Linked DNA regions of Mus musculus. The protein of the gene in region 1 interacts with the protein of each later gene in a pairwise test. Links are inferred from orthologs where the notes say so. Each region holds a gene or a part of one and is shown on either strand. Other genes may lie near its edges.

The links.
Region 2: the proteins of Creb3 (region 1) and Tmem51 interact in a two-hybrid assay, tested with the Homo sapiens proteins (2 studies listed by BioGRID and IntAct). The two-hybrid records come from large-scale screens. The link is inferred for Mus musculus from reciprocal best matches to the Homo sapiens genes CREB3 and TMEM51.
Region 3: the proteins of Creb3 (region 1) and Emd interact in binary tests that used the Homo sapiens proteins (3 or more experiments, as listed by UniProt). The two-hybrid records come from large-scale screens. The link is inferred for Mus musculus from reciprocal best matches to the Homo sapiens genes CREB3 and EMD.
Region 4: the proteins of Creb3 (region 1) and Cacfd1 interact in a two-hybrid assay, tested with the Homo sapiens proteins (2 studies listed by BioGRID and IntAct). The two-hybrid records come from large-scale screens. The link is inferred for Mus musculus from reciprocal best matches to the Homo sapiens genes CREB3 and CACFD1.
Region 5: the proteins of Creb3 (region 1) and Slc29a1 interact in a two-hybrid assay, tested with the Homo sapiens proteins (2 studies listed by BioGRID and IntAct). The two-hybrid records come from large-scale screens. The link is inferred for Mus musculus from reciprocal best matches to the Homo sapiens genes CREB3 and SLC29A1.
Region 6: the proteins of Creb3 (region 1) and Lat interact in a two-hybrid assay, tested with the Homo sapiens proteins (2 studies listed by BioGRID and IntAct). The two-hybrid records come from large-scale screens. The link is inferred for Mus musculus from reciprocal best matches to the Homo sapiens genes CREB3 and LAT.
Region 7: the proteins of Creb3 (region 1) and Stx7 interact in a two-hybrid assay, tested with the Homo sapiens proteins (2 studies listed by BioGRID and IntAct). The two-hybrid records come from large-scale screens. The link is inferred for Mus musculus from reciprocal best matches to the Homo sapiens genes CREB3 and STX7.

Annotation. Positions count from the first base shown.
Region 1 is NC_000070.6:43,561,197-43,565,457, forward strand, and holds the start of Creb3 (cyclic AMP-responsive element-binding protein 3), read left to right. Parts: upstream 1-1,461; 5' UTR 1,462-1,616; coding exon 1,617-1,763; intron 1,764-1,853; coding exon 1,854-2,010; intron 2,011-2,084; coding exon 2,085-2,155; intron 2,156-2,272; coding exon 2,273-2,362; intron 2,363-4,064; coding exon 4,065-4,171; intron 4,172-4,261. UniProt on the Homo sapiens protein: Endoplasmic reticulum (ER)-bound sequence-specific transcription factor that directly binds DNA and activates transcription. Plays a role in the unfolded protein response (UPR), promoting cell survival versus ER stress-induced apoptotic cell death.
Region 2 is NC_000070.6:142,035,805-142,039,304, forward strand, and holds part of Tmem51 (transmembrane protein 51), read right to left. Parts: intron 2,130-3,500; 5' UTR 1,942-2,129; coding exon 1,601-1,941; intron 1-1,600.
Region 3 is NC_000086.7:74,253,237-74,257,486, reverse strand, and holds the start of Emd (emerin), read right to left. Parts: upstream 2,801-4,250; 5' UTR 2,536-2,800; coding exon 2,454-2,535; intron 2,280-2,453; coding exon 2,172-2,279; intron 2,035-2,171; coding exon 1,957-2,034; intron 1,745-1,956; coding exon 1,611-1,744; intron 610-1,610; coding exon 563-609; intron 481-562; coding exon 150-480; 3' UTR 1-149. UniProt on the Homo sapiens protein: Stabilizes and promotes the formation of a nuclear actin cortical network. Stimulates actin polymerization in vitro by binding and stabilizing the pointed end of growing filaments. Inhibits beta-catenin activity by preventing its accumulation in the nucleus.
Region 4 is NC_000068.7:27,008,579-27,012,725, forward strand, and holds the start of Cacfd1 (calcium channel flower homolog), read left to right. Parts: upstream 1-1,347; 5' UTR 1,348-1,409; coding exon 1,410-1,527; intron 1,528-4,147. Other genes in the region: Adamts13 (A disintegrin and metalloproteinase with thrombospondin motifs 13 isoform 1 preproprotein), read left to right, coding at 1-139, 678-869. UniProt on the Homo sapiens protein: Transmembrane protein which mediates synaptic endocytosis and fitness-based cell culling.
Region 5 is NC_000083.6:45,592,731-45,596,779, reverse strand, and holds the start of Slc29a1 (equilibrative nucleoside transporter 1), read left to right. Parts: upstream 1-1,249; 5' UTR 1,250-1,298; intron 1,299-1,533; exon of another isoform or gene 1,534-1,597; intron 1,598-1,696; exon of another isoform or gene 1,697-2,969; intron 2,970-3,130; exon of another isoform or gene 3,131-3,224; intron 3,225-3,347; 5' UTR 3,348-3,448; intron 3,449-3,842; exon of another isoform or gene 3,843-4,049. UniProt on the Homo sapiens protein: Uniporter involved in the facilitative transport of nucleosides and nucleobases, and contributes to maintaining their cellular homeostasis. Functions as a Na(+)-independent transporter.
Region 6 is NC_000073.6:126,363,327-126,366,568, forward strand, and holds the end of Lat (linker for activation of T-cells family member 1 precursor), read right to left. Parts: intron 1,513-3,242; coding exon of another isoform or gene 1,436-1,512; exon of another isoform or gene 1,349-1,435; intron 1,296-1,348; coding exon 1,233-1,295; intron 1,135-1,232; coding exon 1,072-1,134; intron 975-1,071; coding exon 877-974; 3' UTR 870-876; intron 716-869; 3' UTR 501-715; downstream 1-500. UniProt on the Homo sapiens protein: Required for TCR (T-cell antigen receptor)- and pre-TCR-mediated signaling, both in mature T-cells and during their development.
Region 7 is NC_000076.6:24,147,927-24,152,088, reverse strand, and holds the start of Stx7 (syntaxin-7), read right to left. Parts: upstream 2,801-4,162; 5' UTR 2,681-2,800; exon of another isoform or gene 2,363-2,680; intron 1-2,362. UniProt on the Homo sapiens protein: May be involved in protein trafficking from the plasma membrane to the early endosome (EE) as well as in homotypic fusion of endocytic organelles. Mediates the endocytic trafficking from early endosomes to late endosomes and lysosomes.

The DNA.
Region 1 (4,261 bases):
TCTAGCACTTCTTTGGGTAAAAGAGGCCTCTGTAACTGCACAGGAATAAGAGAACTCACTACAAAACAAAGGTAGCTACTTCCTGCCAACTTCTTACATTTTACCAGCTCAGCTGTAGCTGCAGCCTCAACCCCTAACGCTATCACCAATTCCTAACATTAATGCTGACTTTATTTCCTATTTCCCTATACATTGACATTCACCCCTTTCCCAGAAGACACCCATACTAATCTGGCTTTTATTTTTAGGCCCAAATCCCCCAAATTTAACCCTAAATACTCCCTCCCACCCCACCCTGCAGTTCTAAAGCTCATTTGTAACTTGGTTCTTAATTAACCTTTTCACTGTTTATTCTTAATACTGACCATGACACCGGCCTTTAATCCCTAAAACGGGCATCTAAGCCAATTCCTGTTGATCCTTAACCCGATCCTGTACTCTGACTTAATGCTGGTCATTGCAGAAAATAATGACCTCAGTTTAAATGTCACATATGCGAAACAGACTTGACTCGTGCAGCAAATGTTTAGAATGTAGTTCACCTTCTTAACTTCTAAAGGGATCCTTGCTTCCTAAACGCGACGGCACCTAACCCAAACTCACCCCAAGTTTTCCTAACCACTTACTCACTATCGGCTAATACCAAAGCCCATCCCCGCCCAGTGCCTCACTGCCACCCAGTGCCTCACTGCCACCCCATTTCTACCCGTCCCCAAACCTAGCCGAGACAGAGAACTGTCTACCCCCGCGAAAGGGCCTGCTTCTCGCAACAAGGCCAGCTTAATTCCAAATCCAAACCGAAACATACTGGACCCTGACCTCCCTAACCAGACACAGGATATGCAGGAGGATTGGGGGCCCCGCCCGCCGCTTCCCGGGCTGGCCCGATCCCGCAGCCCCACCTAGAAGCTCGGCCCAGCCCGTCCGGCCTACCTGCGCTGCCCGGCTCTGCGCCCCGCCCTGGGCCCGCTACCCGCTCCTTCTCCCGGTCGCTTTTGGGGCTCCGGCCTCGCCCTCCCTTCGACACACTCTCGGCCACTTCCGTCCTGGAAACGTCCCCCACCCGCCGGCGGCGCCCTGGGCCCGCGCTCTATGGTAGCGGAGACTGCAGGAAGCTGCTCTGGCCGTAGTTCTCGATGCTCGGGCGCCCGCGAAGCCTGGCCGCCCCTCCCCAGCAGGAAGCGAGCGTGCAGAGCTCTGGAGAGAACGCCCGAACTAAGCTGGAGTTCCCTTTTAAACGCTTAAGTTTTTTTTTTTAATAGCTCGAGGCGAAGGCGGACAAGGATCCTCAGAATCCCCGCCCTGGGGCGTGGGAAGCTTGAAAGGACGTCCCCATAATTTGCATAGCCCCCGGGACGTGGCGCAGCCCAGGAGCCACTTCCGAGTTGGAGAGAACTCCAAGTCCCAGGATTCCACGGGGCTATGTGCACCACTTCCGTTGTGTTGGAAGCTGAGGAATACAGAAGCTGAGAGACGGGTGCGGTTTAGAGTGACAGCTAGGCCCTTGTCCCGGAGTGACGGAGGTTAAGTCGAGCCGACTGGACAGACTGAGGGGTCGTGCCTGAGGTTCGGAGGTTGGATCTGCGCGGAGGGATTTCTATCCATAGATATCCCAAATGGATCCTGGTGGTCAGGATCTGCTAGCTTTGGATCCCGGTGATCAGGACCTGCTGGGCTTCCTGCTAGAGGAAAGCGGAGATTTGTGGGCTGCGACTGAGCCGGACGTGAAGGCTCCGCTGGACTTAGAGCTGTCACCTTCCGAGGTGGGTGGGTGGGTGTTCCCAGTGGGGGAAGCTAGGGATGTCCGCGAGACCCAAGGTACGGAAATAAATCAAGGCCTTTGAATTTGATAGAACTCCGTGCAAGAACTGAGCGACTGGGAGGTAGAGGATTTACTGAGCTCTCTGCTCAGTCCCTCAGTATCGCGGGATGTTCTCGGCTCTTCCAGCTCTTCCATTCTCCATGATCACAACTACTCCCTTCCACAGGAGCACGTCTCCATAGATCTAGGTGAGTGTGAAATGATAAGTTGTGGGGGAGGAGAGAGCTCACTGGGCTAGCTGGTTCTACTTTCCCTTTTGCAGATACTGAGAGCTTCGAAAAGGAGGGGTTCCACGTGACTCCACTGCCAGGGGAGGAAAGAGCAGCGGAACAGGTGCTGGACTTGATTTTTTTTTTCAGGATTACCTCACTTTGCAGCAGCCAAGATCCCCCATACTGCTCTGAGAGCTCCATGCAACTCTGCTCTCTTCACTATTTCCTCCATCCTTAGGAGATGTCTAGGCTGATACTGACCGAGGAAGAGAAGAAGCTCTTGGAGAAGGAGGGGCTCACTCTGCCCTCAACCCTTCCTCTCACTAAGGTAAGGCTCCTGTTGGTAGAGCAAAGGCTGGAGGGGGTTGGTAACCCAAGTAGGCAAGCTCAGTTTGTTTCATATCAATCACTTGCAAAAGGACAAACCAACTCCTACAAGTTCTCTCATCTCCAAACACACACCCACGTCAAAAGATAATGTTTTAAATGTAACTTTAGTACAGAGCCTTGAAAGTGAAGGGCCTTGATAGCTTCCGTTGTTATCTTGGGACCTCGAATCATACTCAGTGGTAGAAATGCTTGAGAGGCTGACTCAGTCTAACAACATCAACAATCGTCAAAGCTGGACATGATGGTGCACCCCTCTATAACCCTAGCACTCTGGAGGCAGGAGCAGGAAGGTCTTCACAAGTTCAAAGTCACTTCCCACGTGCTGGGATTACAAGAATACTGCATCTAGTTTTTGTGGCAAATTTTTTTAATGTCATTTGCCTTTTTAATATTGTCTTACTTCTGATATGTAGATATTTACTTATTTGGGGCAGGTGGATCAGCATTAACGGACAGACTTAGCTTCATGTTGAGTTCAGGCAAGCTTGGGCTATGTGAGAAACCATCCCCTATCCCTCTATCACTATTACAAGATGAATGAGCAATATATTGGGAGGAAAGGAAACGGAACTTGGAAATTATCAATAGTGGTTCTGTCCCTAGGATAGTAACTGTCTTGTCTTCCTTTACACTGGCCAGAGCATGCCATAATTCCCCTACCCACTGGGATTGGAGTACAGTACCTCATGAATGTTCATCAATGCTCACTGCTGAGCCACGCCCTCTGGCCCTTGTTGTTAAGGCAGGGTCTTGTAAACCCAGGCTGGGCTGGCCTCAAACTATGTAGTAGGGAAAGAATGCCTTTGAATTCCTGATTCTCCTGCTTCTAACTCCCTCGGACTAGATTACAAGTGTATGATGTCACTCTTGGCTAGTGTCCAAGTTTGACAGGCATTATCAGAGAATGTAAGAGTTAACTTTATTCAGTTTTAGTTTCTGAAAGAAAAAAAGTTGAAAGTACCTTAAGATAAGGATATATTCTATATCACTTTAGAGACTCTAGGAAAATCAAATGAATGGAAATTATAAGAAGATTGATGTTGCTTTAGGATAAGGGTAGATGTTGTTGTTGTTAGTTTTGAGACATGGTCTTATGTAGCTCAGTCTGTCCTCAAAAACTACCCTAGCCAAGGATGGTCTTGAAATCCTGACTTCCTTCTTCTGCCTCCCAAGTGCTGATACTACAGGCATGTACAACCACACCTAGCTTAAGTGGAATTTTTAAAATTAATTAGAGACTGGAAAGATGATTCCGTGGTTTAGAGTACTTTCTGCTTTTCCATGGGGCATGAGTTCAAGTCCCAGCTCCCACATGGCAGCTTACAATCCGAGGAGATCTGACACCCTCTTCTAGCCTATGTGGGCACTAGGCACACCCATTATACATATACGTTATACAGACATGCAGGCAAAACACCCAAACACATAAAAAATAATAAAAAGTCTGGCTTTCTAGTGTTGAATATCTGCTCCTTGGTGTTCACACAGAAGGTAAATGCCTACTGACAGAGAGGCTGTGGAGAGTATTTGATTGGGAAGAAGGTTAGCTGTCTTCCAACATACCTATGTAGTATATATAGGTATAACATACAGGCATATAATAACATACTGTGGGTGACCTTTCCCCCATCTTCTCTTAGGTGGAGGAACAAGTTCTGAAACGAGTGCGGAGGAAGATTCGTAACAAGAGAGCAGCTCAAGAAAGCCGCAAGAAGAAGAAGGTGTATGTCGTGGGGCTGGAGAGCAGGTAAGCAAGGATGGACACGGGGGAAGCCTGGAGGGTCTTGAAGGGAGGAGACACAATATTTTGAAATCCACGTGTCCTCACATCCATGTT
Region 2 (3,500 bases), about 98 Mb from region 1:
CAGGCAAATTTCTGAGTTTGAGACCAGCCTGGTCCACAGAGTGAGTTCCAGGACAGCCAGGGCTACACAGAGAAACCCTGTCTCGAAAAACCAAAAAAAAAAAGCCAATGTCCCAGACTCAGGGATGGCAAGGCCTTCTTCCTGGTCTAGGGTCGACCAGTAGGAGCAGAAAGTACTGGGTGCAGTTTCAGCCCCATGACTGCAGCCTAAGGCTACTCACCCACAGAGACCCCCTAATGTGGTGAGTTTCCTGACTGTTGCTGGTCCCTCTCCATTGGAGTGTGCATGACCCACTCAATCCCAGATTTCCTTGTGGTTGTCATGTGTTCATTCCCTGTGGCCCCATTGAGTCCAAAGCCAGGCAGGTGGAGGACAGGCGTGTTCTCAGAGAGGGTTAACGGAGTAGAATAGATCCACTCTGACTTAAATGTGGACAACATCATTTATGGGCTTGGTCTGAATGAAGCGGGAAAAGAAGACAGGGACCTGAACACCAGCATCCATCCCTCTCTGCTTCCTGAGTTCCCACATGATGTAACCAGCTGCTACCCCAGGCTCCTGTGGCCACGCCTCCCCATCCATAATGACCCCAGCCTCAAACTGAGAGACGGAATAAACCCTTCCATCCTTAAGCCGACTCTGCGTATTTGGTCAGAGCAATGAGAAGAACATCTAGGGTCAGATGCTGTGCTGACTGCCTATGCTTGTCCGCTTGACACACGCTAGAGCAGTGGGTCTCAACCTTCCTCATGCTGCGACCCCTTAATACAGCTCCCCATGTTTAATATGGTTCCCCAGCTATAAAATTATTCCCATAACTGTAATTTTGCTGCTGTTATGAATTGTAATATAAGTACTTTTGAAGATAGAGATTTGCAGAAGGGATGGAGATCCACTGATTTAGCGTCACTCGAGAGACAGGCCTCTGAGAACGCCTGCGTCTGGGTGTGCAGGGCGTGGTCTTGACTATGTCAGTGGAGGTGGGAACTGAATATGGGTGGCAGCACTTCATGACTGGATGAAAAGGAGGCACAGAGCCGAGTGCAGGGCTGTCTGTATACATTAACTCATCACTCTCTGTTCTTGACAGTGGGGGCTCTGCCTTCTTGACTCCCCCCAAAATGACAGACCCTGACCTGCAATTGTGAGCTAAATAAATCCTTTCTCCCCTAAGTTGCGTTTGTCAGAGTGCTTTCATCACAGCAATGAAATGAACCGTAAGGGAGACGCCAACTCTTATGATATATGCCTCTATCTACTATCTATCATTTAAATACATTCCTGATATTTTGGGCTAAGCGAAATTTTGTGCCTTGACCTTTTAAAATCAAAGTAGATACTTTGTATCTACAAAGTAGATAGCACCTGGGACAGAGAGACAAACAAGAAACCTAGAGCCCCATGACCCTCGGCCCCACCAGTTTCTGTGCTACATCTGATAATCCATCTTAGCCACGGGATTTGGGAAGCCTGCATCTAGTAAGCACAAGGGTATTTGTAAAAATGATATGAGGAGAGTGGAAATACAGACTCGTGGAGCAAAGTACTCTCTCCATGACTCTGTGTACAAGTATGGAGGGAGCGGCCACTTGGGTCTTACCTGTCTTCTTCTTGGGAGTGGGGCACGGTTCCTGCCTGCTGCTGAATTCGAGCCAGCTCCTCACTCTGCCGCATCCTCCTTTTGTCCCGGATGCTCAGGCAGATGGCTAGCAGCAGCAGCATCATGCCAGCCCCGACCAGCACGTACGCCACTGAAAACGTCTTGCTCTTGAGGATGCCACCACCTCCCTCTGTCTTGTTGCCCTGAGACGTTGGCTTATCCGCAGGGCTGAAACCAGGAACCAGGTTCCACATGGCCATGATGACCCCGAGGACCAGCATCCCCAGGCCGATGGCCGTCAGTGCGTAGTGTGAGCCGTTGGCTTTGGATTGGGCCATCATGACAGCGGAGCGGGGCAAGACCCGGCTCAAAGAGAGAAAATAAATCAGAAAGCAGTAGTGCCAATAGACACTGTGTCCATGCAGCAAAGAGACTCTCCTGTGTCACAGCGGAAAGTCATCCGTAGACTCTCAAGCGATGGCTCTCTTCAAATGCCAGGTATCCCGGGTGGATGGAGCAGACGAGAGATCTGAAGAGGAGAGGGAATGAGAGATTATCAGCTCTGTCTTGGGGAGATTCTCTGTGAAGGAGGTACCTACCAGGCAGGGCTGGGCCACCAGCCTCCACCCTGGCCTCACCTCTAATACATTCCAGATGTTCCAACCACCACCCCTGTGCCAGAAGGGAAAACCAGAGCTGTCCCTGCAGGAGGCCAGCAGTGAGGCCAGTGCTCAGAGCAGCTGCAACATGCTGTGAGGTTTAATGAAGTGTGGTCTGCTCTCAGCCCTCATGGGAGAGATGTGGAAGAGCAGAGCGAGAGATGGCATGCTTGGGCCAGGGTCAGTCACACCCCAGTCACCTGGGGTGGGGGAGGAGGTTCGGGGTGCAAGAGTTAACGATGAGTCCTATCCAGTTAGCCTGCTGGGCTCAGTATACTACCCTCGCTGGCTCCTGATTTATTGTCTTGGAGGGGGAAAAACTTCCCTTTTCTTAGAATGATGAGCGTGCCCTCCTTGGTCACGTGGTCTCACTACCTTGGTCTGCATATCCCCTCCAAGTACCCCTGCAGTTATCAGACCACCCTCTTTCTGGGTATTCGGGTATGCTCCACTAGCTACTTGGGCGGGCCTGTCTTCCAGTGGCCCCTTGCTTGTCTCAGCCCTCCACAGGGCAAACGTCTCAATTGAGTGTGTGTGTGTGCTCACGTCCAGTGACATGGACGGAGACCGTGAGGCAGCTCAGAAAGAAAAGCGTTGCCCTAGCCCTGTCTCCCCGACTTCGTAAAGGAGGCAGAAGTCTTCACACTCCTCATCTTCTGTGTCCAGGAGAACCCCAAACCAACCCAAACAACCAAATCACTTTTCCGGTGAAGCTGCTCAAAGACTCATGGGAGCTGGGATTCCAGAGCCCTCGGTGACTGAAGGAGCCTAGAGGCAAGGCATCGAGGCTGTAGTTTAGGATATATTTGGAGATCATGGAGGAGGAGATGGCAAGGCCCCAGTCTGCCCAGCTTTCAGTCAGAGGGTGGGCAGGCAACATTGCCGAGCAGGATCGCCCGGTTGACCTTAGATGGACAGGCCTTGTTTTCAATCCTGCATTCTTTCCAACCTTTCTGAAAGCCCAGCTGATCAGGGAGCCTGAAACATGATGCTGCGGAGATGTTTTCTCGTTAAACTTTCATCTGAAACGCTCCGCTTTGTTAAAAATCACTCTAAAAATATCTGGGACAACATCCTCTCTCAGCTTGAAGGCCTCGCCTTCCCTTTCTTCCACCCAGTAAGTGTTTCTGGTGCATCTGGCTACCTGCAGGTTGCACGGGAGACACTGCAGATGCCTGGGTGAAGGAAGGAAGGGGACGCGCAGGAAGCAGAGACAAAGAATGACAAGAAATGAGGGAATG
Region 3 (4,250 bases), on another chromosome or scaffold:
GGATGAGGTGGGAGACAAGCATTGCCTTAGGCTAGACCTTGCACCCAACTAGAACACACAAAAAAGCCCCTACCCTCCCCACCCCCAGCAAACACCGATAAGGCAATCAGCCAAAACTCCTGGTAAGAGCTGCTCTAAAACCAATACCCTTAGGGATCCATCCAGAAGGGGTTGCCTTCTTCAGCTTGTATGGAATAGTAAACAAAGAGCAGAAAGGCAGCAAAGACCAGGAAGAGTAACAGCTGGCCCCAGAGTGGGACCTGTCGATCCTGGCCCAGAGCAGCAGCAGGGGCCTGCTTCTCTGGCCGAATGGCACGTCGGGTAAGCCATGAAGAGGGAGAAGATGAAGAGGAGGACACAGAAGAGGTGGAGGATGTAGGATAATATGATAAGCCCAGAGAGCTCCTGGAGACATTGGAAATGGGGCGGTAGTGTGCGATGCTCTGGTAGGCACTGTCTTGGCCATAGATGAGGCGCTCCCTGTGGCAAAAGAAGGCAACAGGTAGGCAGGAGAGTCTGAGACTCGAATTTGTCCCTGTCCCTACATATGTTCACTACTCACCTATCCTTGCCTTCCTCTTCTAAAGAAGAGAAAATGTCATCACGCACCTGCAGAATAATTAGGATTAGAAATGGGGAAGAATGGTTTTCCTTAAATGTCTCTGGCTAGCCTGCTCTAATCATATCATAGGGACCAGAAAATTGCCCCCCCCTCCCCCATTCTGAGTATGTGGAGCCTCTTTATCTGTGGGGCCTTGCTGCTCAGTTACTAACCCTGTTGACTTTGTTCCAGCATCCTTTTATTCCCCTGGATTCTCAGGAGGCTTAAATCTATATCGTAGATTAATTACTAGAGTGCAGGAGCTGTTACATATTCTCTGATCAAAAAAGTTTGTGGGCTGAAGAGGTGGTTCACTGGTTAAGAGCACATATTATTCTTCCTAGGTACCTGAGGTCAATTTCCAGCACACACATCAGGCAGTTTACAACTACCTGTAGCTCTAGCTCTAGTGGGAATATGACAATTCTCACCTCTGTAGGTGCCAGCACTCATGCATACTACCCACAGACATGTATGTGAGAATTCTGGAATTTTGGCTTTTTTAAGAAACACAGAAATATTGTAAGAATATGTTTTTGTTTTAATCTTAGGTGTGGAATATGGGGCTGCTTCACAGCAGCTAACTATGAGTTGCCTCATGCTTTTAGCAAAGGTGTGTTTCTGTGAGTTTCAGATAGTTTCTACAATTGTGTGATATTTGGAATTCTGGGAATTTTTCATTACTGGGGGTGAAGTGGGGGGGGGGAAATACCCACAAACTAACAAAAATTGGCCACACATATGTATAATTAAAGTAATTAAATCTTTTAAAAAAGCCAAAACCCCAAAACATTTGTTATGTGCTGCTGGAGATGAAACCATAGGTAAATACTCTTCTGCTGAGCATCCCCAAATCCAATAGTTTTGAAGGTTCCAACATAGAATTTTTAACCCGACAGCTGTATGCTGACCCTAACCAGATTTGAAAGCCTAAGATCCACTCTCTGCACCTATCCAAACCTAGAATTCCCTAAGGCTGCACCCCAGGTATACCTACCAGCCAACTCACCTGGTGATGGAAGGTATCAGCATCTACAAGTGAGGTCCCCGGCTGGCGGAAGCTCTTGGACATGCCCACAGACTCAGGCTCCCCGTATGTCTTGGTGGTCAAATAACTCTCCTCATAGTAGTCATCATTATAGTCTTGGGGAGGAAAACAGTGGTAGAGGAAAAAGTGGTGCCCCTTAACTGGCCTCCTCTTCTCCCTCCCCAGCCTGTGTGTGCTGTGTCAGTTTCTCCCCTCTGAAGCCACTGAGAACTGGTACAAGGAGGTGAGGGAGGTCTGGGGTTTCCCTGTGCCCAAATCCCGGAAGCATGGGATAAAAACATCAGTGCCCACCCTATACCTGCCTTACCCTTGCTCTGGTAAAGTAAGGCGTCTTCTTTTTTGGGCAGATCATACATGTCTGAGTCCACGGCGGCTGAATCCAAGTCTGCATGTGAAGGAGGAGGGACAGGACCATTCGATCTCCAGCCTTCCCCCTACTCCCTCAATAGCTTCGGCCACACCCTCCCTCCCTAAGACGTGTGCCCCAAGCTGCTCTTTGGGGCTCTGCAGTTAAGGGCTCACCTGAGAACTGATAGGAGAATGAAGAAGATGACGAGTTGGGGGGTAAGAGTCTCCTTCTCTGGGTCTCGTACTCGAAGATTTTCTTTTCGTAGAGCTTGCGAGTGGAACCTGCCCAGACACAGGGTGCGAAGCGGTCAGAGGGCGTGAGCCGAGCACCCCAAGAGCACAAGGGAACACGGGGAGGGGACTTGAGGGGAGGGAGAGGTGGGGAGAACGCTCAGGGAGGAGCGCGGGAAAGCAGTGGACCAAGAGAGGTTCTGAGCGCCACCGGGTGCAGCATACCCACAATAGGCCCATGAGGGATGTTGTACTGGCGTAGCACTGCGGCCAGCTCAGTATCGGACAAAACCGCATAGTCGTCCATGGCAGACAAGGCCGGCACCTGGAAGCGGTGTTGAACGCCAGGGGCGGCCGGGGCCTACAGACAGGGCCCAAGAAACCAACCGCTCGGAGCCTAGAAGAAGAAGCGCCAGAGCCTCAAGAGCGGCTGTGGGCGCGTCACGCCGCCGTCACATTTGCGTCACAGCCGCGGCTACGCAGGTTGCGCGCGCTCCTCAGGGCAGGCCCAAACTAGCCAGAACGGCCGGTGCAGACCGGTCTAGCTGAGGGAACAGGCTGGGCTGGCAAACAGAAACGTAACGCTTGTGAGAGATTGGCTCGAACAGGGAGAAGGCGGAGCTTTCAGAACTCGTGCGGCAGCGGTTGAGACTTCCTTTGAGAGCTAGGCCGCCGAGGGGCGGAGCTGGCTGACCTCACTAGAGGATGCTTTAGAGCGCAACTTACTAGGGATGAGGCAAGTGATTTGACCAAAACCGGCTTGTGAGATTTCCCAACCTGTGAGATCTCACATACTTTTGTTACTGGCTTCATTCCTGATTTTATTCCCCCGGTGTTCCAGTGCCTAGGATTCTCAGCCACAGTGTGATCCACAGCAGTGTAAAGCAATCCTGAGAGCGAACCCTTCCAGAGCGCCTAACGCTGCTGAGAGCTCTTTGTATGCTGTCAGACAGGGCTCTCATCACCTAACATAGACACCCACAGAGCCCTGGCACTCCCTACCCATCTCCTTTGGTCTTCCCAGTCTCCATGACCCTGGCCTGCACACCTGCACAGGCCCATTCCCACCGTCGTCTTCTCTAATGCCTAGTTCCATTCGCGAGGAAATGGGGCCAGCACTGGGCCAAGTGGCCACCAGCACTACAGGATCAAGCAGCTTTCCAAAGGTCCAGGGTATGCCAATGCACACAATCAGAGGGCGCCTGCCTGCCTGCCTGCCTGCCTGCCCTGTGATGCATGTAGATCTGTACACCTTGTACCTGCCATACTCACTGTTCTACCTTGGGCCCTGAGGAATTCTGGGGGGAGAGGTCTTCTCTGGCTGAGTAGAATAGTCTCTAAGCTTGGTGTGACCTTAGAGACCTAGACAAGTGTACAAAGCCTAGAGCACTATTTCTCAACCTCCTTAATGCTGCAATCCTTTAATACAGTTCCTCATGTTGTGGTGACTCCCCACCCATAAAATTATTGTGTTGTACTTCATAAATGTAATTTCAATATTGCTATAAATTAAAATATAAATATTTGTTATGCAGGATATCTGATATGTGAGATCCAAAGGGATAGCGACCCCAGAGGTTCTGAACTGCTGGCCTAGAGGCAAACCATGGGAATTGATGGAGGCTTACTAAGGATCTGGATCAGAGAAAGGTTGCCTTGAAGAGTGACCATGACCATTATATTCTACACAAAGTCATGTGGATCTAGGTAGGCTGCCCTTTATTGGAGAGATCTAGAAGAAGGGGTACGCGTAGAAAAAGTGTGTAGGATGCCTGATCTCTTAAATCAGTGCTTCTCAACCTTCCTAATGCTGTTGTGGTGATTCCCAATCACAAAATATTTTTGTTGCTACTTTATAATGGTAATTTTTGCTACTTTATGAGTCATAATGTAAATATTTTTGGAGACAAGGTTTGCCAGAGGGGTTGTAACCCACAGGTTGTCTTAAGTGATAGTGATAGTGAGTACTTTGCTCAGTTCTAGGTTGACCTGATGACACTTTAGTGAAGTTCACAGGCCACT
Region 4 (4,147 bases), on another chromosome or scaffold:
CTCACTGAGCCCAGACGGGAGGAAGGCAGGGACCTGCAGGGTCTTCATCAGTGTGGCTCCACAGGCCCGCATTGCCATCCGCGCCCTGGCCAGTGATATGGGCACTGCTTCTGAGGGGACCAATGCCAACTATGTCTCGGTGAGGCCACGAGGATGGGGACAAAAAGGGGGTAATCTTTTGATACGATTCTGGAGAGCTGTCTCTAGGAAGGAGGGAGGGAGTGTTGGCATTAGGGAACACTTTTAGCTTATTTTTCATCCAAAACTTCAAAATTATTGGAAAGAATGGGAAGGAGGGTTTCTGCCACTCACTCACTCACCAGGGAATGCTTGTGGCTCTACCCACAAGAAGGAAGAGAGAAGGCCTTCCCTGGGAGTCCATTGCCTGTTGACCCAGCGTGGAAGCATCGTGTTTGTGTCTGGTGTTTTGTTTGTTTTCAGAAGAGCATAGGTAGGGTTGCGATTCAGTATGCTCTACAAGGCACCAGAGCACCTCAGACTTAGTCTTGAGCAGGATCCTAGCTCTTGTACCTGGTTGTGTGTTCTGGGGAGTTTCTTGGGTAGAACCGAGTGTCCCTCATGTGGGCTCCTTTAAGAAACAAAAATGACTCTGAGTAGCCAGGAGTTTATAAATAATGATCACTCATGGCCTGTTCTGGCTACTTGCTTCTCCACAGATCAGGGACATCCACAGTCTGAGGACCACAACATTTTGGGGGCAGCAGGTGCTCTACTGGGAGTCCGAAGGCAGCGAGGCTGAACTGGAGTTTAGCCCTGGCTTCCTGGAGGCACATGCCAGTCTCCAGGGCGAGTATTGGACCATCTCACCTAGGACATCGGAACAGGACGACAGCCTGGCTCTGTCCTAGGTTTCTCTCCAACAGCCGGGGAGTATGCAACTTTAGCCTCTTTAGAAGTTCTAATGCCTGCTAGCCTTAGGGAACCTCTTTTAGTGACCTTTTCCAGGTGCAGAAGGGCTGGGACTGGGAGGTGGAGATCAGAAAAACAGTCCCAGCCCCCAGTGGTTAATAAAGGATACAGGATACCAGACTGGAGTTTTCCTCCCATAACCTGCCGCCCATTACAAGCCTAGCTCGAAAGCTCATTCTACTGCAAGGCGGAGTTCCTTGGAGGTCTGAACAAGGCCTTTGCCACTTCTGGATGACGTCTTCCAATCTTGCAAAGAGGAAAGGCCAGACCGGATCCAGCGCACCTGCTGGGTGGCAAAGGGCGTCTGACAGTCTGTAAACACGCCCCTTATGCTATACTCCATTTCCTCCCGCCCTCCCCCCGCCCCCCGGCTATGGCCTGCGGGCCCGCCCCTATGCTAATCACCACCTCTCCCACAAGGCCGCGCGCGGGTGGACACGTCTCTTTGTGCGCGCCTGGGGCTGCGCGCAGCGTTTAGCATGAGCGGCTCGGGCGCCGCCGGAGCGGCCGCGGGCCCAGCCCCGCCGGCACAGGAAGAGGGCATGACTTGGTGGTACCGCTGGCTGTGCCGCCTGGCGGGAGTGCTAGGAGCGGTGTGTGAGTATCGGGTCCAGGGAGCGGGCGTCCCCGGGGTTGCCATGGCTCCCGGCCTCAGGCCTGCAGTCCACCGCCGGAACTCGATGGCTTACTGCCCAGTTGTTGCGGCCCTGATCAGAGGAAATGAGACTCACAGAGGACGCGCGTCTGCCCCTTCCCGGCCCTGCCTCGGCCTGGTGATGCTTACCTGGGCTGGGGTGGGACTGCCAAGTTCCCAGCCTTTGGACAAAACTTGTTCATAAATGGGGGGCAGCTCTCCACAGGCTGGGAAGTTTGCTTGGGGGTCAGATGGTGCCAGGAGAAGAGTGGCCCCTCAGGGTGGCTGGGCAGTGATCGGAGTTCTCCTCGGGTTCCTACTGTCCACACTCTCCTAATGCTTCTCGTCGGCCTAGTATCCTCCACACCAGCAAGCTTTCTCTGCTCTTGTAAAGAGGAAGGCAGGTCCGCCTCTTCAGTGCAGCTATGTTGCTGGCCTTCCAAACAGTGTGTTTGCTAAATCCTGGGTGTCCCTTTCATTGTGAATTCCTAGAAGTCCAGGTGAGTGCTGGGAAGGCCCGAGGATCCATTGCCTACCTGGTACCAGAGCAGGAACTGTGTGGGTAGGGGAAGACTCATCCGTTTTCCTGTCTGGAGGAATACCTTGGAGCCCCATCTGTCCAGACGATCTTGCTAGTCAGATGGATAGGGTAGAGTTAGGTATGTGCTGCCCTGGTAAGGCAGCTCTGGAAGAAGTCTGCTGAGGTTGATCAAATCCTCTTCAGTGCAGTTAGCTAGTTCAAGGTGGTATTAAGGGGTGAGGGACAAGGAAGGGCCTGACCATGACCTGTAGGCGGCTATCCTCCCTCCGTCATGGTGATTCAGTCAGTGACCAGGTGATTTCTAGATTAGATTGACTTTGGAAATCCCACCCAGTCCCATACTTCCTGTGGGTACCTGTGCTACTCCCGAAGGCCTCCCTAATCCTCCTGCCGAGCCAAGCTATCAGTGAAACCTTACTGGAGACCTGTGGCCGTAGCTTAAATTGTTCCCTGAACCTGATCATTGGGATCAGGGGGGTGGACATCAAGGTTTTGAATACTGGCATATCATAGGAGGGAAGGATATCGTGTATTTGCTTTAAAAACTCAATAGGGGTTTGGCAGGAGCTATGGCTTAGCCGGTCACTTTGACATAGGGCTATCCTCTCTTGGAATGGAGGATATTCTAAGGGGCTTATTATTTATTGGAGGGATTTATTCTGGTCCCAAAGACCTCTGTAGACAGAGGAAGAAAGGATTATAGGGACATCTCCTTTATATGGAAGACATGAGCATTATTAGCACCCCAAGTGAGTGGATGTATTTGAGTCCTTGGTTGTCAAAGGACTCCTGTTCGTCTGAGTTGCGACCTGGTCCTCCCAAAGGTGGCTCTGTAGGACAGCATGGTGGAGTAGCTCTGTAGATGGAATGCTGAGGACAGGAGTGCAGGCCTTTCAGGTGAGACCAGGCCTAGCTCCACACAGGCAGGGGGCCGACAGTCTTTCACTTCTGTGGCCCTGGAAGCTTTGCTGCGTGAATGAGTGCTGCGTTGAGTTCTTTATTAGAGGAGACTTTGTGACATAGAAGCTGTGCCACTCATTTGGTCCATTCTCCTGCATCAGTTCCCATTTGGATAATGTAACACAGGAAAGTGGAAAATGGTGGAATTCCAGGCCCAGTGGAGGGATCCGGTGACCCAGGCCTGCTGCAAGTTTAATAAGTTGGTGCTAATTGCAGCCTCAGAGGGCCAACACTCTGCCCTCCCTTAGCTTGTGTCCTGCCAGAATGGGCAGCTCTCAGCAATGTCCTCAGAGGCTCCCAGAGTTCCTGGTGAGGGACTTCTTGGTGAAGCCTGGGTGGCTGGGGCAGACTGTAACCTGAAGGTGCAGTCAGAGGGGAGGGGCCTCGCTGGGCTTCCACACTGGAGAAGAGCACACACACTGTCCCCTCTTGGTGTCCTGCTATTCAGGTATTGGGGCACAACCTGCTCATGTGTAGGAGAGAAAAATGAATTAGGAAAGCAACATGTTCAGGGTCACGTGGCTAATGTTTTAGATGGGATTGTCATTTGAATCTTCCCTGGTGTATCATAAGAGGCATCCCTGTCCTGACCCAAATTCAAGATGTGGCCAGACGTAGTGAAACATGCTTGGAAGTCCCCAGGAGGCTGAGAGAGAGAGAGCAAGATAGTTTGAGGTCAGCTTGAGCTATAGAGCAGGACTCTGCCTCAAAGGAAAACCAAACCAAACACCCTCACCAAGCAAGCATAAAGAACAACCCCAAATAAGTCGGAGTGGCCTTTACCAAGTTAGAAGACATTTTTGAGTAGTTTACCTGGTGGCTGCAGACTGATAGGCTAAGATTCCCACTGAAGTCGGAACAGGCCTGACTTTTTAATTTTTTAATTTTTATTTTTTAAAGATTTATTTATTTTATATATGTGAGTACACTGTCTTCAGGCACGCCAGAAGAGGGCATCAGAACCCATCATAGTGGTTGTGAGCCACCATGTGGTTGCTGGGAATTGAACTTAGGACCTCTGGAAGAGCAGTCAGTGCTCTTAAACCTCTGAGCCATCTCTCCAGCCCCCCAGGCCCTACTAC
Region 5 (4,049 bases), on another chromosome or scaffold:
CTTAGTGCTAGTGGGGAGATGTGTCATCTCTGTGGGAGCAGGAAGGCTGTATACGCCCCCACCAGAGCAGCTTGAGAGAACCCACTGTCCTACAGAGTCAGCTACCTCCTAAGGGCTCAGTCGTCCTCTGGGGAGACTGAGTGCGTCTTTTCCCTACGATGTTAGCACTGGTAATTGTTAATTAGCTCCAATGGTTTCTCTGGAGCACAGGTTCCTTAGGGAGGTGGGGTGAGACAGGCAATCTGGATGGGATGTTCTTGCCTCAGGACCCTCCCCAACTTCTGGGATACATCAGTAGGGAGTGCTACTGTAGGGGGTCCCTCCTCCTTTGTACCCCAGCGGGGGGGGGGGGGGGAAGGAAGGAAGGGGAGGGGTATGAATGGTAAGAGGCTCAGCAAGGCTTCTAGCCCCGAGGGTTATCTTGGGATGGGACATGGGACAGTGAAATGCTGGCTAGGACAAAGATGTGCAGGATGTGAGGCCTTTCTTCCTGGCTCCCCTTTCTCCGGTCTCCAGCTGTGTTTCAGTTTTCTTAGAGGCCTCAGGGCTGTCCTCTTATGCCTTCATAAAGGAGCCTTCAAGGCAACATGGGGATGGGGGGGGGAGAGATGCTGTTTGTGTGGTGTGCGGCGAGTCTGAGGGCAGGAGAGAGAAAACAAAACACCTCCAGCGTCTGGGTTCCAGAACGCTCAAATCTGAGGTATCCCAGAAAGTCTTCTTGAAGGGAAAAGGAGGAGTGGAAAGGAAAAAGGATGTATTAGAAGGGTGTGTGTGTGTGTGTGTGTGTGAGGGGGTTGCTAGCAGTAAAACGGTGGAGTGTGAATAATGGCGTGGGCGGGGTTCGGAGAGGGATAACGGAACACCTGAGGTGGAGCGTGGCTTGTGGGGGCGTCTGGACCTGGGTGAGCAGAGGGCCTGTCTGTGCAAGAGTCCCGCCGTGGAATGTGTAGGAGTTAGGAGCGCAGGGCCAGCGCGGAAATTAGGGGTACGCAGTGGGGGGCCCGTGCCCCCCTCCCAGGCTCGCGTGTCCGGGTGACAGTTGGGAAGGGTCCAAAGACGTGCTCCGCCATCGAAGCCAGCAGCCCTGGCGGCCCTAGGCGTAGGGTCTCTGACTGGGAGCCGGTGAACTGTTGAGGGGGCGGCGAGGAGCCTGGGGGCGGGGCTGTCGCCGGGAGGAGGTGGCTCCCACGGGCCCGGGGCGGACCCAGCAGAGGGCGGGTTTGAAAGCGCTCGGGCGGGCGCGGGAAGCGCTGGCCAAGCGCGCAGATTTCGTCGCCGGAGGTGTCCTTCTCCAGCAGGTGCTCGTAGGGCTTGGGTGGGACATGTTGGGGACTCCGGGGTAGAGAGTGGAGTGTCCGGCTTGCCAGGAGGGAAAAGGAGGCCCGGTCTGCCAGCTCCGAGGCCGCGACAGGGACTTTGGGGTGCGGCCCCCACGCGGCGCGTGCAGAGCAGCGCCAGCACGTGGCGCGCATGGGCCTGGCTCTGGGTAGGGGGACTCTCCTTTTGTGGGGACCAGGGCGGAGCTGGGCCCAAGACAGCCTGGCTTCTGGGCCTGGAAGCGACTGTCGCTGTGTTGACTTCCGCAGAGGATCGGCGTGTGGGTAGTTCAATGCTACAGTCCTGTGTGAACTAGAGGGAGGGGTTGTGTTGCCTTCTGCCCCGAGGCAGGAGGATGGGGAATGCGGGAATACAAATGGACGTGAAGGGAGCTAGCTGGCCATTTACAGACTAAACTCCTGTTCCTGGCCTCCCTTTCCTGGGCGAGTCCTCATTTACTCTACGCGGAGAGTGAACGTGTGACAAGATAAAGGACTGACGCGCACACCCAGGCTTCCTTTGGATGAAGGCTCTCTCCACCCCTGCACCTTATACCCCATTCGGGTCCTCTTGCCAAGCCTGAGCCAACCCCCTCTTCTCCATTAACCCTCCTTCCGTCCTGTTCCTCTTGTCCTGCTTGTGTGACCTTTGCATACAATAATATATGCGTGGTGGAATGGTTGTGAGTTGTCATGACTCTGAAACTAATGTTATGTGAAAGAATGGCCTGAATCTCCCACTTGTTTTAACCCTTTAATTGGAGCACTGTTGCCTTCCTGGAAGCCTACACGAATAGCTGAGGAGCCTTGTTAATTTTGCCTTCCCCACTTGAGAAGGAATCTAGAATGATCGGTACATTGAGTATTGATGCTGTCACCCCCATTCACCAGCTCTGCGGGCTTTCTCAAGTGATGGAGCCTCTTTAAACCTCAATCGCCCTAACTGTTTAGTAGAAACGGGGCAGCTGGAAGAGGGGCATCCTCAGATTTCAAGAGAAGATTCCGATGTAGCAGAAACTAGGCTGAGAAACTGAGCTATGTGAGAGGACCCTTAGGACGCAGGAAGGCCTCAGATGGGCGATAGCTTTCAGGGCCTCTCCATCTCGGCAGGTCAAGGCATGGCTGAAATGATACCAGAGGCCCTGAACTGCTATCAGATCTCTACTGGGACAAAAGTAAAGAAAGCCCCTAAGCAGCAAATGGAATGTTTGGATGTGGGTGGAACCCGAGAGGTGGGAATTTCTGCAAGGGGAGAAGTGATGTGTGTGTGTGTGTGTGTGTGTGTGTGTGTGTGTGTGTGTGTGTATATGTATGTGTATACTTGTCCAAGCCTAAGCCAGTTTTATGATGGAAGAGTTAGCCTCCCTCTGGCTTGTGGCTGTATTCACTTTTGCTGGTGCATGGGAGAGGTGTGGGGTGCTCGGTGGAGAATTAGCTATGTTTTGATGGGGTCCCTTCCCTACTATCTAATAGAAACCTGAGTCCTCAGGCTCCCCGCAGCCGCAGCAGAACCCTCTTGTCCTAGATAAATAGCAGTGCTACTGTTTGCTGCTGCTCTGTCCCCAGTGCCTAGGAGGATGCCTGGCGGACCCACAGAGACCCTCAGCAAATAGTCCTTAACCAACAGCAGGAGCCTTCTGCCTCCTTCTGGAGGTGTGTGGCTTTGCTGTCCAGTACTGAGGGATTTGGCCCGTCTGGGTTTCACCCACAGCAGAATAGAAAAGCGGCTATAGGGCCTCAGGGTGACCAGCTGTGACGCCTGTCTGGGTGGGCGGGGACTGAAGTTCTAGCTGCACCTGAGAGCTGACCTGGCTGCCACAGGCTTAGATCCCCTGCTGAGCCGGTTGCTTGGGCTGCTGTCTTATCTCCCAGCTACAGGGTGGCCCTTTATCTCTCCCAGCTTCGCTGGTACTTTTAGCTTCTGCAGCTTCTTAGCTTGTGAGACCCCCGCTGAATGGGGGCCCCTTGAGGCCTGAGGGATTCTCTCCCGATAAGCCTTGGCCAACTTTTCCACTCTGGACCCTCACCTAGGACCCAACCTCCTGCCTGAGCCTGAGCCAGGACCCCTTCCTGGGGAACGCCCAGGTACCTTTGGCTCTCACCGTCCTGCCAACATCGAGTCTATAAATTTGGTGAGTGATGAGATGGGGATCTAGAGCAGCTTGCCCTAGACAAAGAAATAGCAGTCTGATGGGTGGGGTGTCCCTTGAATATGCTTCTTCCTTACAGGACTAGCCCACTGGTGCTGTTATCTCCTCTTTGAGAGTGAGGCACAGGGCAGCATGTCAAGGGTTTGGTTAGGAGCTCTGGGAGCACGATGCTAGCTTTCCAAATTTCCCTTCAAAGCCACTGTCAGACACGGGAAGAGGATAGTTAGTGGCCTTGGACTGAGAAAGGAACTGGGGGTGGGGGGGGGAAGAAAGGAACATTCTGGAACTGGAGGTCAAGGAAAGGAACTTGCTGTGGAGAAGTCTGTGTCCCTCCCACAGTTATGAAATATATTCCTGGAGAACTCAGGAAGCCCCTAGGCAGCAGCTGGAAAGGCGTAGAGGCTGGCTCCAGCAGAGGCTGGCTCCAGCAGAGGCTGGCTCCAGCAGAGGCTGGAGGGAGTCCCGATTACTCTAGGAAGCAGTCTGCGAAGGGAAGGCCCTCCCTGCCACAGTCTTGATTGGGTGATGGGGTGGGGGCACCCAGGAGGGGAGAGTGCAGGCTCATGGCAGGCCTCAGGAGACC
Region 6 (3,242 bases), on another chromosome or scaffold:
ATAGGCCTCATTCAGAACATGGCTGTGTCCAAGTCGTTGTCTGTTGTCACTTACAGTCCTTAACCAAGACTGTCGAGAGGTTGGTAGGACCCCTGTAGAGGAGGGAGACCCACAGACAGAAAGACAGCCATCTGGATGCTCTGACTGCAGACTTGTATGTACACACACACACACACACACACACACACACACACACACACACACACCTAGATCCAAAGGTCATGTATACTATACACACATTTAACAAACATCCCACAAAGAAAAAGTTGTCCTCAACCCATGGTTACTACCACCCAGCTTTCCAGGACCCCAAAACCCACAGAGCTGTTGAAAGCTATACATTATAGTATGCACCTGTAATCCTAGCACGAGGAAGACAGAGGCAGGATGATCACCCACAGGTTCAAGACCAGCCTGATCAACATAGCAAGACCCTGTCCCAGTTAAACAAACAAACAAACCAACAACACCAGCAACAACAAAAAGAAGACAACGACGACTTTATGTCACATGGCCTTTATTCCATGACATGGTCTGGCTGGAACCAGATTCATTCTCAGGCTTTATCAGAAGGTACAGAATATTGGGGACACAGACTGGACCCCAAAGTGACAATAAGTTAGGGGAAGATTCTCAGGCTGTGGCAAGGCAGAGGTCAAATGGGATCCTCTTAGCGACACCCCAGCAAGTCCAGTTTCAGGACAGACAGCTGCAGCTGAAACACAGCAGGGCAGGGGAGACAGGGAGGACAGTCATGAAGCCACCCGGGTATCCAGAGCCACAAAGAATGTGCCTAACCACTGGGGATAGGCAGGAGGGGGGTCCTGGAGAGAAGGCCCAAGGTGGGGGCGGGGACAGAGACCACTCACTAGGCTTTCAGTTAAGCTCCTGCAGATTCTCATAGTCAGGAGCTTCCTCTCCATCCACCCCTTCCTCTTCTCCTTCGTCTTCCACCTCCTGGGAGTTCACAGAGGCTGAGAGGGAAAAACAGAGGGAGACTGCCGTTCAGCCTACAGACTCTCTACTCAAGGCTGCTCCCCAGCCTCTGCCCCCTTACACCTTGGTACTCACCCAGCTCAGCCCTGGTCACTGGCTGCTGCTCTGGGGACACATTCACATACTCCCGGCTCCCATCTGTGGGGACAGACCAGCAGGGACAGTGGTGTGAAGGGCAGGCCATGCAGAGGGTAGGGAGAGGCTATGGGCCATGCATGGAGTGCAGAGTCACCTACCCAGAGACGCCTCTGCGCTCTCCTCACTCTCAGGAACATTCACGTAATCTTCACACGACTCCACTGTAGAATAGCCATTGCAGTACAGTTATTAGCAGACACTCAGCCAGGCACTGTTCCCCAGAGACACCTCCCACCCCCGGCTCAGACATCTAAGTCTCCTAACACAACCCCCAGGCAGACTCACAATATAGAGAGAATATTCAGGAAAAGCGAGGGGAGAAGAAGCCTGGGCAGGGCAAGGGCCATGGAGGTGGATGGAGAGCCAGGACCAGAGCCTCTGGGGGAATGGAACAGAGACAATACAGGACTCAGGCAGTGAGGCTGGAGAGCAGGGCTCCAAGGAGCTCAGAGTGCAGAGACCTTGGTGATCTGTGAAGAAGTGGCACACTTGGTCTAGTTGGCATCCCCTCTTCTCAGACCTGTTGGTCTCTCAATGTTATCAGCTCTTGCCCTCACCTTCCTGGGCCCACAAAGGTCACTCACAATGCTACACAGCTTTTTGCTTTCTGGTTTCATGGTTGCCTGGTTTCTGTATGGGCATGTGGACAAGCTGAGCCAAATACACTGGCTCAAACCTCAGTCCCAGCACTAAGCAACTATCTAACCTCAGATAAGTCACCTAAATGCTCCCTGCCCCAGTTTCCTAGTCTGTAGAATGAGGTTCATAACAGGACCTGCCTGGAAGGACTAGAGTGAGGAATAAACAATAAATTGTAAAACAGAGCCTGCAATACACTATGTGCTACCGTTGTTCCAATTACTAGCAACCTTGAGCCAGGCTGTGGTCTCAGAAGACGGGAGGCAGGCGCTAACTTGAGCTCAAGACAGACTGGACATCACAACAGCAAGACTGTATCAATTTAAGTAAATAAATAAACTCTAGCATACCATACAGAGAGACAGTACAGAGAGAGATGTGAGGGACAGGAGGGGAAGAGGGTACGGTCAGCAGAGCACCCACGAACTGTGAGGTCTAATGAGCTGTACACACCACGAGGGCATAGAGTTGCTCCTCAGTTAACAGTAGTTCTCTTAGTACCTCTCTGTGTGTTATGCCACTGCACACACTCAGGAGCACATGGAGGCTTTAGCCATTCCACCATAGTTCTTTGAGACAGAGTCTCTCACTGAAATTAAAATGAGTCATTTTGCCCCTAGCAATGATCCTTTTACCATTACAAGTTTGCTGCATTGGCTCCCTAAATCCCTAGCAAAAGTCAGCAGACATAACCAGGAAATGAGGAGCGAGAGACCAGGACGGATGGAAGGAAGGGATCACTCAAACAGTCTGGGGTTCAGGAGAGAAATGACAAATTACACGGAATTAAGTCATGCATGGTTTATATAAATCATATATACGCAGTCTGAAGCTAGGTTTTTGTTTTGTCTTGGTTTTATTGACATGGGGACTCATTGTATAGTCAGTGGGTTACAAATGGAGCAAGAGAGCCAGGTGGTGGTGGCACGTGCCTTTAATCCCAGCACTCAGGAGGTAGAGGCAGGCAGATTTCTGAGTTCAAGGACAGCCTGGTCTACAGAGTGAGGTCTAGGACAGCCAAGGATACATAGAGAAAAGCTGTATTGAGGGAGAAAAACTGAAAAAAAAAAAGCTAAATAAACAAACCACCAACAACAAAAACCAAGTGGAACAAGAGGGATACGTCTTTAACCCCATATAATCCCAGAACTCAGAAGCCAGAGGCAACTGGAGTTAAAGGCCATACTAATCTACAAAGTGAGTTCCAGGGCAGCCAGGACTCTACAGTGAGATTCTCTCTCAAACAAAACAGAGCCAGAGTACAGACATAATAGTCTAGGGTAAATACAGAAGGTTGGGTGTTCCTTTTAAAACTCCAAAATTCATCATATTCCGAAATCCAAAACCTTTTCATACTGGTGCGATACCACAAATGGAAAATTTCATGAAACTTCTATTTCATACAAAAGATTAATTAAAATTTGCATAGAACTACCTTAAAGACCGAGCATGGTAACCTACACGTTTAA
Region 7 (4,162 bases), on another chromosome or scaffold:
CACTTATGTTTATAGACAGTTATTGACAAATGGCTCTGAAGTCTGTTTTTACATGTGAGCTAATTAACTCTATGCTTATAAAATGTTTGTACTCTATAACCATCTGCATTGCCTAGCTTGAGCTGCAATACTCAAAGCATTTGTGTCCTAGTGTCTTTGCTCAAAATAATTACATCACTCCTCATGTGCACCTGCACTGCCTGCACACAACTATCAAAATGAACTAAGGTAGAAGAAGGCCACCTCGGCCACCTTTCAAGTGCTAAGAAACTGTATGTGGCCAGTGGCCAGCAGCTGGGACAGCTCACATATTCCCTTCATCCCCCACAGAAAGTACTACTGGGCAGGGTTCAACTCAACAGCTCAGTAATTATCTTTTTATGAAGATAAACACTAAGGTGAAAGAGGAGACGGGAGAGTCAAACAGTAACACCTATAGTGAGCGCTGTCTCAAGACTGTGTGGAAAGGGCAATTTAAAAATGAACAAAGGGGATTTTGATACAGAGTCTTGAATGTAAAACACTACCCTGTAGTTACTAATGGACATACTGTAGAATCTTGAAGACTTCCTCTGAGCAGACACTGGCTTAAAATTTAGCCTGCTCAAATCAAATGGTCAGTTTCACTTTCTTAATCATGAAGCCCAGCATAAAATATGAGTTTCCTCCTTTGTTCCCCAGGTTTTAATTTTTGTGTGTGTGTGTGTGTGTGTGTGTGTGTGTGTGTGTGTGTGTGGTGTGTATGATGTGTGTGTATGGTGTGTGAGTGTGTGTGGTATGTGTGTGCAGTGTATTGCGTGTGTGGTGTATATGTGTGTGTGGGGTGTGGTGTGTACGTGTGGAGTGTGTGTATGGTGTGTGTGTGTGCTGTGTGTATGTGTGTGTTTGTGTGTGTGTGTATGTGTGGTGTGTGGGGGAGTGTAAATCTTGGACTTAGTCTATTCTCTAAGTACTTGGCTACAAAGTAGATCCTGAATAAATGTTGTAAGTCTGAATGAACAAGTGTACCGATTTCCTATGAACACATGCCCAGCCTAAGAGTAAATATAAACATTTCTAAAATACTGTTTCAGGCTTATTGCTACCTGGGCTTTTCTCAGTGTCCCTTTCTATCTGTAGATGGCCCTTTCCATGATACACACCCAGCCCCTTTGAGGACTAGCTCTTTGTCTCAGTAAGGTGTTATCACACACTAAAGATGCCAGGTCTGAAATGAGAAGTCTCTATCAATGTAACTTCTACTTCAAGCGATGCATCATACTTAGAAGATGGGAGCATTCACACTCTTTGTTTTCAATTCCTAAAACAAACAGGAGAGGAATCATAGGAGACAATCAATCATGAGGGTGCTCAATCTTCCATATGAGTATTCGGTCCACAAGTGCATCTTTGCCCAGCTCCTTCATCAATCCAAACGCTACACTGTTTGGTTTCAGCTTAATTAACCAAGATTTTTTTTCCTCCACAGTTTCACACATTAATATTTCAAGTTACACTGAACCAGAGAAAAATCCACACAGACTTAACTGTGGGAGTTTTATCTAGCAGTACTAGTAGACATAGAGGTAATATTTCCCTGCAGTACTGGGGACTGAACCAGGGCCTTGTGCACACACCATTTAGTGGCATATAGCTCAACATAATTATTCATAATTTTCCACCAGCAGCGTATGGATGAACTTGGGATAATAATCAGAATTAGAAACGACTGTTAATCAGGAGCAGCATAAGAAGTGAGCTAGCTGAAGGAAAAGAACCCAGAGGTCAGTGAGTTAATACTGTGTTCTATTAACTTCCCCAGACACTGGGAAACTACAGCCTCGTTCTTAACTAGTCACAAGCCTGGGGGCCAACTTCGAAAGCAGCTTGCAAAGCCGAAGACCCATCGGCACCACAAGGCACAATTTAACAGTGTTATCAATCTCTGTTCACTGCGGCTCAGAGTACACCTAAAAGAAATGCCTACCTCCAACAGGACCAAACCAGTGTTTCACAGTTAATTCCTTTTATTTTCCTGATTGTGGAAAACTTGTAAATAATAATTCCTGACAAAATACGAGATCTGACGCAATCAAAAATTGATATATGCATATAAAATGCAAGCAAAATTTTAACAGCTATAAGGAAAAATTAGCATTTGACTGTAAAGCTTCCTTCCTCTTCCCACCCTCGTCCAAGCTTTTTTTTTTTTTTTGGTCTGAATTTAACCTAGAAAACACATATGCGAATTCTCGAAATACCTTGTTACCTTGTTATGTGTCTTGCATAAATCAATTGAAACGAGCACAAGGTAGGTCAAAGAAAGTTAGCTTGTGTGAGTAAGGCCAACAGCCAAGCAAAGGCCCTGGGCCGCGGAACGAACCTGTGGCCAGATGACCAGGGCCCATCGCGTTTCCCTTTCTGTTCTTCGGAGGAGAAGTTGACAGAGAATGGGAACACGGTCGTAGCCTGCCAGGATCTGGCGGTAGTATCCGGTCCCCAAGGCTCCATTGCCGCGCGCCCCGGTGCTCGCACGTCGCGTCCCGGAGTCCGGAGCGGGGCGTGGGAGCCCGAGAGGGAGGCGCCGGCCCTGCGCCCTGGGGAGCCCCGCTCTGCGCACCCCAAAGCAACCACTAGCGAGCTGCAGTTCTGAGGTGTCCCTCCCGCCCCCCTCTCCCCCGCCTCTGCAGTCTCCTCTTACCCTGACCTCGCCGGCTTCCTCGGCCACCTCCAGCCGCTGTCACCCGGGGGCCCACTGCCTGGCGCAGCCGGTCTCAGCTGATGGGCGGCGGCACAAGCACGCCCACTGCGCATGCTCGGGGCACAGCCCCAGGAAGGAGGAGGCGGGGCTTGCGTCTCTCCCATTGGCCAGTGACAGCTGAAGCTTGGAGGGACTGGCAAAATTGCTGGGGAGCCAAGCTCTGATGGGTGACAAAGTGATGTCTATGGGCAACAGAAGAGGAAGCAATACAATAGAGAAGAGCTGGGTTCTTTATTCGGAGGCGCCAGACTCCCTGGACTGAGGGAGCACTCTCAGCTTTTAAAGGTTCTGTTTCCTAACCCTCAGCTCTGTGGTAGACTTGACAACTCCATTTTTAAAATGTCACTGCAAAAATGTCAAGGCAATCCTAGCTAAAGCCCCGGAAGGATAAATGAAAGATAATCTCCTAATGCCCACTTGATAAAGATGTTTTCCTGGCTCATAGTTGGTATCGCATCCTTGAAATACAGGATGTGGTTTTCCCAGGCTTTAAGAGCACACACTGTTCCAACAATAACTCTTCAAGCATGTGACCTCTCGGATGAGAAACATCAGTTGTTCATGTGAAAGAAATACTTTGCCAAATTAATTAGAATAGATTGCCTTGGATTTGCCTATAATTAAGATGGTGTTATTTCTGGAAAGAGCATGAAAACACATGATACCAAAAGTTCGATAGACTTCAAGTGGAGGTAGGGGGAATCCATACTATTGTGAATCAGAACCACAGAGCAAACTGTATGTTGGTTGGTTTTACACCTGCAAGCATACGTAGATGACTTAGGTCAGACTCAAACACAGCGTCTTCTCAGTAGGATCCACCCAGTGGATCAAAGAACATGTACTCATTTAAAGTCATGTGATTCAGCTCGGGCCATGGTGAACTGTTGAGGTTTGCTGTTTTGTCCAGCACTGGAAATTGAACCAAGGTCCTTGGACATGAGAGGCCTTCACTCTGTCCTCTATCTCCAGTGGTTTTTGTTGTTGTTGTTGTTGTTTTTGAAACAAAGTCTACACAGGTTACCCAGATATTAACCTTGAACTCACTCTGTAATCCAGGTAGACCTTGAACTTGCAACCTGCCTCATCGTTCAGAGTACAGACCTGTATCATTGTCCCGGGTTGTTTGTGGTTTTGTTTTGAGGAATGAGGGATCAAACCCAAGGCCTCACATTTCAGGTAGTTGATCTACCCCTGAGTTCTACCTATCATCTCCACTGTGAACTTTTAGAAGTATTAGTCCATCATAGTGACATTGTATGTTTTCCAAGATACAGAGGAAATTCAAGTTTTTCTTTGAAATCTCTCCCTTTTTCAAAATTGTTTTATTTTTAAAAATCATTCTTTGACAAGGCAATAACCTCTAATAGAAAGTCATGTTAGCTGTTAAAGCTACAGAGTCCCTTTTAGAAAATCTGGTTC